Tribolium castaneum: one gene and its partner. The protein of the gene in region 1 interacts with the protein of each later gene in a biochemical or structural test. Links are inferred from orthologs where the notes say so. Each region holds a gene or a part of one and is shown on either strand. Other genes may lie near its edges.

The links. The genes of interacting proteins can lie anywhere in the genome.
Region 2: of the proteins of mTor (region 1) and Maf1, one has a biochemical effect on the other in vitro, tested with the Homo sapiens proteins (2 studies listed by BioGRID and IntAct). The link is inferred for Tribolium castaneum from reciprocal best matches to the Homo sapiens genes MTOR and MAF1.

What each region holds. Positions count from the first base shown.
Region 1 is NC_087399.1:3,309,748-3,313,934, forward strand, and holds the end of mTor (serine/threonine-protein kinase mTOR), read left to right. Parts: coding exon 1-296; intron 297-368; coding exon 369-600; intron 601-652; coding exon 653-973; intron 974-1,021; coding exon 1,022-1,476; intron 1,477-1,521; coding exon 1,522-2,116; intron 2,117-2,240; coding exon 2,241-3,578; 3' UTR 3,579-3,669; downstream 3,670-4,187. UniProt on the Homo sapiens protein: Serine/threonine protein kinase which is a central regulator of cellular metabolism, growth and survival in response to hormones, growth factors, nutrients, energy and stress signals.
Region 2 is NC_087398.1:6,530,245-6,535,631, forward strand, and holds Maf1 (repressor of RNA polymerase III transcription MAF1 homolog), read right to left. Parts: upstream 3,737-5,387; 5' UTR 3,082-3,736; coding exon 2,740-3,081; intron 1,783-2,739; coding exon 1,505-1,782; intron 1,453-1,504; coding exon 1,386-1,452; 3' UTR 973-1,385; downstream 1-972. Other genes in the region: uncharacterized protein LOC663202, read left to right, coding at 5,346-5,387. UniProt on the Homo sapiens protein: Plays a role in the repression of RNA polymerase III-mediated transcription in response to changing nutritional, environmental and cellular stress conditions to balance the production of highly abundant tRNAs, 5S rRNA, and other small non-coding RNAs with cell growth and maintenance.

The DNA.
Region 1 (4,187 bases):
ATTCTGGGGCACCATGCGATGCATTGCCGGGCGTACGCCAAAGCCTTGCATTATAAGGAAGAGGAGTTTCAAAGGGGGGCGAGCAGCCAGGTTGTCGAAGCACTCATTTCGATCAATAATAAGTTGCAACAAAAGGAGGCGGCTGAAGGGTTGTTACAATACGTCATGCAGAGGGAAATGCAAGTGCAGGTCAGGTGGTACGAGAAGTTGCACAATTGGGAGAAGGCCCTGAGGTTGTATACTGAGAAACTGGAAGGGGACGAGGCGGACCAAGAGGCTTGTTTGGGCAAAATGAGGTTCGATTCAATTTTGTCTTTTCCCAAAAAAATCCTAGTTATGTTTTATAAACTTCTACATTGATTTTTCAGATGTCTCGAAGCGTTGGGCGAATGGGGCGAACTGCACCAAGTCGTCGAGAAAAGTTTCAGTTTACTAAATGACGACAGCAAACAAAAGGCGAGTCGGCTAGCGGCTGCGGCCTCCTTCGGTTTGCACGATTACAGGTCAATGGAAACTTACGTTAATGTAATTCCAAGGGATACGCAAGAGGGTGCGTTCTACCGTGCAATTTTGGCAATACATAAAGAGGATTACGAAGTGGTTTGTACCGTAAAAATCAGACAGATCGGTTTGGTTTATTAACCGGTTCCAGGCCCAAAGATTCATCGATTCAGCTCGCGATTTACTCGATAATGAATTAACTGCGATGGCTGGTGAGTCCTACCAAAGGGCCTACGGGGCCATGGTCATGGTACAAATGTTATCCGAGTTGGAAGAAGTAATGCAGTATCGGTTAGTGCCAGAACGGAGGCCCACTTTAAAAGCCATGTGGTGGCAAAGGCTCCAATCGGGCCAAAAACTAGTCGAAGATTGGCAAAGAATCATCCAAGTCCATTCCTTGGTCTTGACCCCACAAGAAGACAAACGAACGTGGGTGAAATACGCGTCATTGTGTCGCAAGAGCGGTTCATTAGTAAGTTCATACTCACACTTGATATTTTTTCTACAGTCGGTTTGATAGATGCTATCGCAAAAAACCCTAGTCATGTTACTCGGTTACGACCCAAGCGAACGTCCCGACGCCCCCTTGCCCAAAAACCAGCCTCACATCACACTAGCCTACGCCAAACATTTATGGGTGGCACAGGAAAAACAAAAAGCGTTCCAAAAACTATCACAATTCGTCGCTGACTATTCGCAAAACGAGCCAAACGACGACGTGACAGTTGAAGAGAAAAAAAGACTCCTGGCTAGGTGTTACCTCAAACTGGGGGCCTGGCATGAGGCACTTGAAGGCATCAACGAAACCTCCATACCTTTCATTTTGAAGTGTTACAAACAAGCGACTGAACACGACCCTCAATGGTACAAGGCATGGCACGCTTGGGCCTATATGAATTTCGAAACGGTCTTGTATTACACGAGACAGGAGGACAAGACGCACTATACAGTCTTAGCCGTTCAGGGATTTTTCAAGTGAGTCGGTTAAAACCGTTTTTTAACCCTAATTGTTCGTTTCAGATCGATTAATTTATCTAAAGGAAGTTCATTGCAAGACACTTTACGTTTATTAACACTGTGGTTCGATTACGGCGATTGGCCCGAAGTTTACGATGCCATAGTCGAAGGCATTCGTTTAGTCGAGAAAAACACGTGGCTTCAAGTAATTCCGCAATTAATCGCGCGAATTGACACAACGGCGTTAGTATCGAAATTAATCAATCATCTATTGGTTGATATTGGAAAAACGCATCCACAAGCCCTAGTCTATCCGTTAACCGTCGCAACAAAAAGTAATTCAATCAGACGTAGAAATGCAGCTAATAGTATTTTAAAATCGATGAGTGAACATTCCCCTACGTTGGTAAGTCAGGCCATGATGGCCTCAGAAGAATTGATCCGAGTGGCAATTTTGTGGCACGAAATCTGGCACGAGGGACTAGAAGAAGCCTCAAGATTGTATTTCGGCGAACGTAACGTTAAAGGAATGTTGCGAATTCTCGAACCGTTGCATGCGATGATGGAAAGGGGGCCCCAGACGTTGAAAGAGACGAGTTTTAATCAGACGTACGGCAGGGATCTGAACGAGGCGCAAGACTGGTGCCAAAGATACAAGGTTTGTATTTTCACCTAAATATTTGCTTTTTTTGTCTTTATAGTCTTTATCAATGAGGAAAAATTAATTAAGTTTTGCTAAAAAAACCTGTGGCCACTTCACCAAGAAAAATTTGTTATTTCAGCTTTCGAGCAACATTAGAGACCTGAACCAGGCGTGGGACCTCTACTACCACGTTTTCCGCCGCATTTCGCGTCAATTACCGCAACTCACCTCCCTCGAATTACAATACGTATCGCCAAATTTGCTAGTTTGTCAAGACTTAGAGTTGGCAGTGCCTGGTAGCTACTGTCCAGGACAGCCAATCGTACGCATTGCCAATTTTAACCGATCTCTCGAAGTAATTACCTCAAAACAGCGGCCCCGAAAACTAGTAATTCGTGGAAGCAACGGCAAAGACTACATGTTTTTACTTAAAGGTCACGAGGATCTGAGACAAGACGAGCGTGTTATGCAACTGTTCGGTTTAGTTAATACTTTACTAATGAAAGACCCGGATACGTTCAGGCGGAATTTGACGATACAGCGGTATGCGGTGATTCCCCTGAGTACGAATTCGGGTCTGATTGGGTGGTTACCGCACTGTGATACGCTGCACACTTTAATACGGGATTATAGAGACAAGAAGAAGATTTTGTTGAATATTGAGCATAGGATTATGTTACGGATGGCGCCGGATTATGATCATTTAACCGTGATGCAGAAAATGGAAGTTTTTGAGCACGCACTTGAGCACACACATGGTGACGATTTAGCGCGGTTGTTGTGGCTGAAAAGCCCCTCGTCTGAGGTTTGGTTTGACCGGAGAACGAACTACACGCGGTCTTTAGCTGTGATGTCAATGGTTGGGTATATTTTGGGGTTGGGGGATCGCCACCCCTCCAATTTAATGTTGGACAGACTGAGCGGCAAAATCCTGCATATAGATTTCGGCGATTGCTTCGAAGTGGCAATGACTAGGGAAAAATTCCCGGAAAAGATCCCCTTCCGTTTGACTAGGATGCTAATAAACGCCATGGAAGTGACAGGGATTGAAGGCACGTACAGACGGACTTGTGAGTCGGTCATGTCCATGTTACACCGAAATAAAGACAGTCTGATGGCGGTGCTTGAAGCCTTTGTTTATGACCCCCTGCTTAATTGGCGATTGATGGATATTGAGGTGCGGAACTTGCCGATGAACAGCGATTCAATGTCGACGAGTTGTTCCCAAAAACAGGGCTCATCCGAATCGCTCAATGTTCCGAAACGCGAGATGATAATGGAAGATAACGAACCGCAACACGAAGTTAATGCCAGGGCGGTTATTATCATCAATCGAGTTAGAGATAAACTGACCGGGAACGATTTCGCTACGGAGGAACCTTTGACTATTCCTAAGCAAGTCGATCTGTTAATACAACAAGCGACAAGTAACGAGAACTTGTCACAGTGTTACATAGGCTGGTGCCCCTTTTGGTAACTCGACTGCTGCATCTAATACCGTGATAGTTTTTTGTTGTGTATCTTATTATTTTTTATATAATCTAGTTGAAATAAAGTAATTATTACAAGTGTGTGTTTAGGAGCGCAATAAACAACTAAGATTAATACAAACTTACCAAACGTGCGATTTGAGCGACTTTTTATCACTTAAAATTTTATCAAACTTTTTCAAATGACATAATTGACAAACTGAATTGCCAACCTGGCAACAAAAATACGTTTTCCACAAATAATTCGAAAAAACACAATTTTACCGTAAATAAAATAATATTTCGTGACCACTGATCAATTTTCGCACAAACTATTTTATTATTACAGGTTTTAAGGAACATTTTAGCAAACTTCAAAAAACTGTAGTTTTGCAACAAAAGACGATCAAACACGAAAAAACAAAAAAATTAGCATTTTTAGCGTTAAAAACGTGCAATTGTAATAAAAGTATATTGCAAGCTTACCTCAAATGAGTCTGGCCGTTTTTTTATCAAACGTAATCACTTTTTGTGATTAACAATTTTTCAAAATAACGCAATTGTTAGTCACCTGTCAGCAAACAAATTTTTGACAGCCGACAAATTTAAAAAGATTT
Region 2 (5,387 bases), on another chromosome or scaffold:
ACTGATTTTATCTGATATAAATGAATTATCGAGTCGAGTTTCGAGCACAATCGAGCGGAAGCGGTGGTCAACGCGTTTCCTCTTTCCATTACGTAATGGAACGAGGCCGGGGGCAGAAACGGTTTTTGAAAAATCTTCGGAAATTCGATGAGTGTCGGCGGAAGCTCTAAAAATGTTAATTATTATCGCGGGTAATCGGATAGGGGAGATTATATCAGTGTCGCGTGTACCGACAGGCTTCGGGACTAAATATCCTCGAAGAAAATGGGAAATGTCTGTTTGCTTTTTTCCAATAAATGAAACCCAATTAATTTGAACAAACACGAAAACGTCGAAATAAAGAGCTGATTAATCATTGCTTTATCTGATAAAAGACGGCCCCTGGCGAGTTGGATAAATAAATGTTTACTTGAATATGAACGATTAGCTCTCAAGTGGCCACGACACTCGTTTACCTGTCTCTATAAATTAAAAAGATTGCATGAGAGGTTGAGACAATTTCATTATGGCTCGTATCGAACACGCTAGACCCAAATTCAATTCTACGAGACTTTCAAGGGCACACCTGTCATTACTACAATGTTTCCCCGGTAGAGAACGCAATTAATCCAGTCGTTAACTCCATACCATATTACCAAAATTTTACGACTTTAGAAAATATGGCATTAAATTGGATTTAAGATTAAGGGATAATTGGGTAGATACCGGTCACAGTGCGTTAAGCACTTATTAATATTATGGAAATTAAATAACCATGTCATAAAATTGTCCTGATGTACGATTTTACAAGTTAATAAAAACAAACTTAAATTATTTAACGTCAGGTGTCAACGACATATACGGCATCTAATTAAAGATAAAAATTATTTTGCGTATCTCGACCAAAAAAACTTAATTTCCATGCAAATTGTGACCGGTCAGGAGCAAAATTTGTATGTGACTCGGGTAGGAAGTGAATTGAGAAACCACAGCTGACTAAATAACATGTTATAATATCAGATCTTACAGTAAATAACTCACTATAAGGATGGCACTTGGAACTGAACGTTGAACTCCAAGCAAATCGTGCCTTTGAAAATTAGATATACATTTAATAGATACATTTTAGTACTAAAATCGTGAAATCTTATATTTTGTACGATATTGCATTAGATAACTAGACGTGTCGTGAGATCGTAACCAGCAACCAGAGAAAAAGTCACTAAACTCCTAATTACTAAAGCCATGGGGTGATTACAGCATAAGTAAAAATTAATAATACCGCAACATTCCACTTAACCTATTGTTTCACACTAATAAAAAAATATTTTGTACTTTTGCTCTCACCAAAACTACAACTCAAATAGTACGATTTGACATCAAAATTAGTAACACGTTAAAAATATTCAGTAAGCGAGATCCACTTCGTCCATGATGAAATCAGTGGCGTAGCCGGAATCCATACTGAACGGACTGCAAACAGAACGAGTTAGCCGGGCGTCAAACCCGCTTACAGAAAACTCACTTTACGGCGCGACAAGTAAAGAAAACGATACGCTTTAGTCGCTTATTGTAGAAAAAATAATTAAAACTCCAGAGACAGCCGTCTTCCCCGAAAGGATCCGAGGCTAAATCGGGATTGTAAGAATAGATGTCGCAATCTTCGAGGGATATCTCGTCGTTGATTGCGGCCCACAGAGAGGCCCCCAGACCGCGGTACTGGTCTCCTGCAGTGGCGATCAAGTTCGAATCGATTGCGTTCTCGACCCACTGGCGCGAGGGCTCCTTGCTGAACTCGTGGCTCTGGAAACATGGCTCATTATCACTCCAATAGATAACGCCACCCGTAATTAATTCTCAGCGTTCAACTTTAAAGCATCCTTAACAAAATAACTCTAATAAGCTTTAGAATAAACTTAAGGCCTGTTGCAAGCAAAAATTACAGAGTTTCAAGCATAAAGTTTTAAGGTTTACAGAGCCGCTGAATTCACTGGAACAAAGCGCATTGCTCTACGACTTTTTGTTTTTGAGTTATGAATTTTTTTGTTGAATAAAATTTTCGACTATAGAAAATGCCTATCTTAATTTTTAACAAAAAATTTAAAAATGTTAGATCTCGTTAAAAGTTGGTGTAATACAGAAAATGAGCCGCTGAATTCAATGGAACAAACCGTATTGCTCTACGACTTTTTGTTTTTGAGTTATTAATTTTTAGCAAAAAATTTTAAAATGTTAGATCTCGTTAAAAGCTGGTATAACACAGAAAATGAGCCGCTGAATTCAACGGAACAAACCTGTAAACATGTAATTTTCTACCTTTTAATAAAATCTCTCAAAATCTGATCAAAGATTGTTTTTTTTTTCACATATCATCTTAGTAAAAAAATAGCTCAAATACTACTCAATGTTTTACATATTTCTACAAGGCCAGTAATAATAACAATACTTATTTCGATATGACCTTAATCTTAAATTTTGGAAAAATGAGCCTCTCAACATTTTTAATTAGTTAATGATTAAAGTATAAAGATTAAGGATTTTCAAAAATCAAATAGTTAAACTTGCTAAGGCTGGATTTTAGATAAACGCCCGATAAGTTATTTGCGTTTATTTGTTTCAAGAATGTATTTTTCGAAACTTATCCCCGAGATAAAGGTATCGGGCGATTATAAAAGCATCAAAGAATAGAAAAAATGGTGTTGACTGTTGGGTGGGGACTTGGCGGGCCTGAAATAGAGTGGGCCGACCTTCAGGTCGTACCTTGACGTCCATGAAGTCGTAGTCGGGGAAGGCCGAGTTGAGGGTTGCGATGAGGTAGAAGAGAGTCTTGCGACTGATTGTGTCGCAAAGCGGGCCCTCTTCGTCGCCTGAGACGCTACGGCTGTACTGCGAATGGCCGGGGGAGACGCCCTCGGGGGGCGACAGGGCTTGCAAGTCGTTGGGGTGCACCCCCTCGGGGTTGAACCGCTTGTAGAGGGCCTTGTCAGCCCCTGCCATCTTGCAGGAGTAGCTCTCGATGCGGCCGATGATTTGGCTGTCTCCGGTCTGGATCGACAGGAGGTTGTTGATGGCTTCAAATCTTGTACTCTCGAGCAGTTTCATTTTGTACTTTTTGGACTTGATATGTTTATTTGGGTAATAACGGACTTAAAGCACTGGCGGAAAAGTTTTTGAACATTGCGGTCGGGTGTATGAATATGCCTTTTCTCTTGGAGTGGCGGAGACACGACGGGACCAAAGTACGCTTCACCGACTTGCTCAACAGATAGTTTGGGCACATTACACTTATTAGAAATTAAAAAAGAAAAAGTGTTTTGGGGCAGAGTCAATTCGAATTGGAAAAAACTCAAATGTTTCACTGGGCGAGTCCACTTTGTTTGTTTATGACAGTCCGAGATTCTGGAAATTTCGCCTTTGCTAGAGTTCGGAATACGAAGAGTGGTACATTTTACGAACGAGCACAACTAACGCAACACCCGAATCAAACTTTTTACAAAATTTACTACAGTTTTTCACGAAAAAACACTGTTTTTCACTCTGACATAAATCGAGCTTGTACACAAATGAATGTCAAGCGGACGATGCCAACCTAACGGACGCAAAATTAGAAACTGGCAAGCGGACGCACACAATTAGAATTACAAAACGACTTTCGTCGACGATTGTTCTTGTTTTTACACCAAAAGAACACGAAAGTGCACACAACTGTGCCAAAAACTTAACCGGCAGATGATTTTTTATGCACCCAAGGAAAATCGGCGAGTTGGCGACCCTGGCCCATCGCTTGCCTTTGTGAGCTCTTATTTACACCAACATGACCCCTAAGGTCACACAGAGGCGTAACAAAATCGAAAATTGCAAAATTGTAAACTCTGACTCCTATTATTGCAACATTATAGGAAAATATCACGCGAATTACTTGTTTTTCATCAGTAGTAGGGGTTGTTATGATAGATACGTGTTTAGTCTGCGGTTTGCCCGCAAATTTATTTATTTATTTATTTATTTTCAAAAAAAAAACTCAATTTTGGATTTATTGAATTTTTTTTTAGAAGTATGAATTATAATTTTTAATTTTTTGTTAAAGTGGGACGCCGCTGGCAATTGAACAATCCACCTTGATTAATTAGGGCAAGAGCATCGAAAATAACTGTTATTTGAGTATGCTTAATTAAGATAATTAATTCGCTCAACAGTTAATATACTTTTTTTATTTAAATTCACACGAATTTCCAGGTGCACTATAATGAATTGCATAATAAAAATAGATACAGAAATTGTTATCGCTTGGAAGCTGGATTCCTTTCATAATAAATATTTATAATCAGTTATGTAATGAAATGAAAACAAAAATATGTACAAAGTGATTACAAAATTATTATGTAAAACATTAAATTTTTTTCTATGATATGACTGTTTGCATTTTAGAAAAATGGTATGTACAAAAAAAATCATTCTGTAAAAACAATGCATTGCATATTTGTAGACCATGCACATCGATAATTATTCAATAATAAAGGTTGTTATCATTAAATGTGTTTTATTTATTTTTAGAACAATCAACATTGAATTCCTCAGACTGAAGAAATTAATATCGTGGTTTTGACCTTTGATTAATGATAATACCTATCAGGTACTACCTTAGGTATATGCAGAAAATTCGACTTATTTATTAAAGATGAAAAATTTCAAAAAATATAAGATTTTAAGAAATGATACTATAAGTATCTAAATACAAAATAAAATAAAATTTAAATTTAAAAATAGGATTGATTTTTTTAAACTCTTAAATAAATCATCCAAAAATATTACAAAATCCTGTAGCTATCCAATAGATCCTCTATAGTCTTACACTCTTACATAAAACCGAACTATTTTTACTGCTGCGATGCATCTGAAGCCGAAAAGCTGAAAGCTACGATGAAAAAAGTCCATCTCCATCGCTCCTCAGTTTATCATAGGCCGTGTTTATTTTTAATGTTATTTAGTAAACAGAAAATTGAGAAACAATTTGACAACCGGACGTAGCCGAACTATCCATTTACTAAATTTAACCCAAGCATCGGGACGTCGAGCGTCGTTTCTCTCCGTTCCCAACGTCACGAACGTAAACTCTCAAAATACACTCGAAAACTCGGCGATCAAGAAACTCAATTAAAGAAACTTTTCCGCAATTTAAGACAACGCGATCGGTAAGTCGGGTGTGCCATTCTAACACCAGTCCAAATTTGATATAATTACTTTCGATCCGAATAAAACGCTTTGCCTCGATTGATGACTAACACGTGGCTTTCGTAATGTGATATTTCCTCATTTGTTGTGGTAGCGAGAAGAATTGCCACCAAACATGTGATTATAACAATACTATGAGCCTCAATCACCAAGATTCAGAGATCGGACAAAGTCCT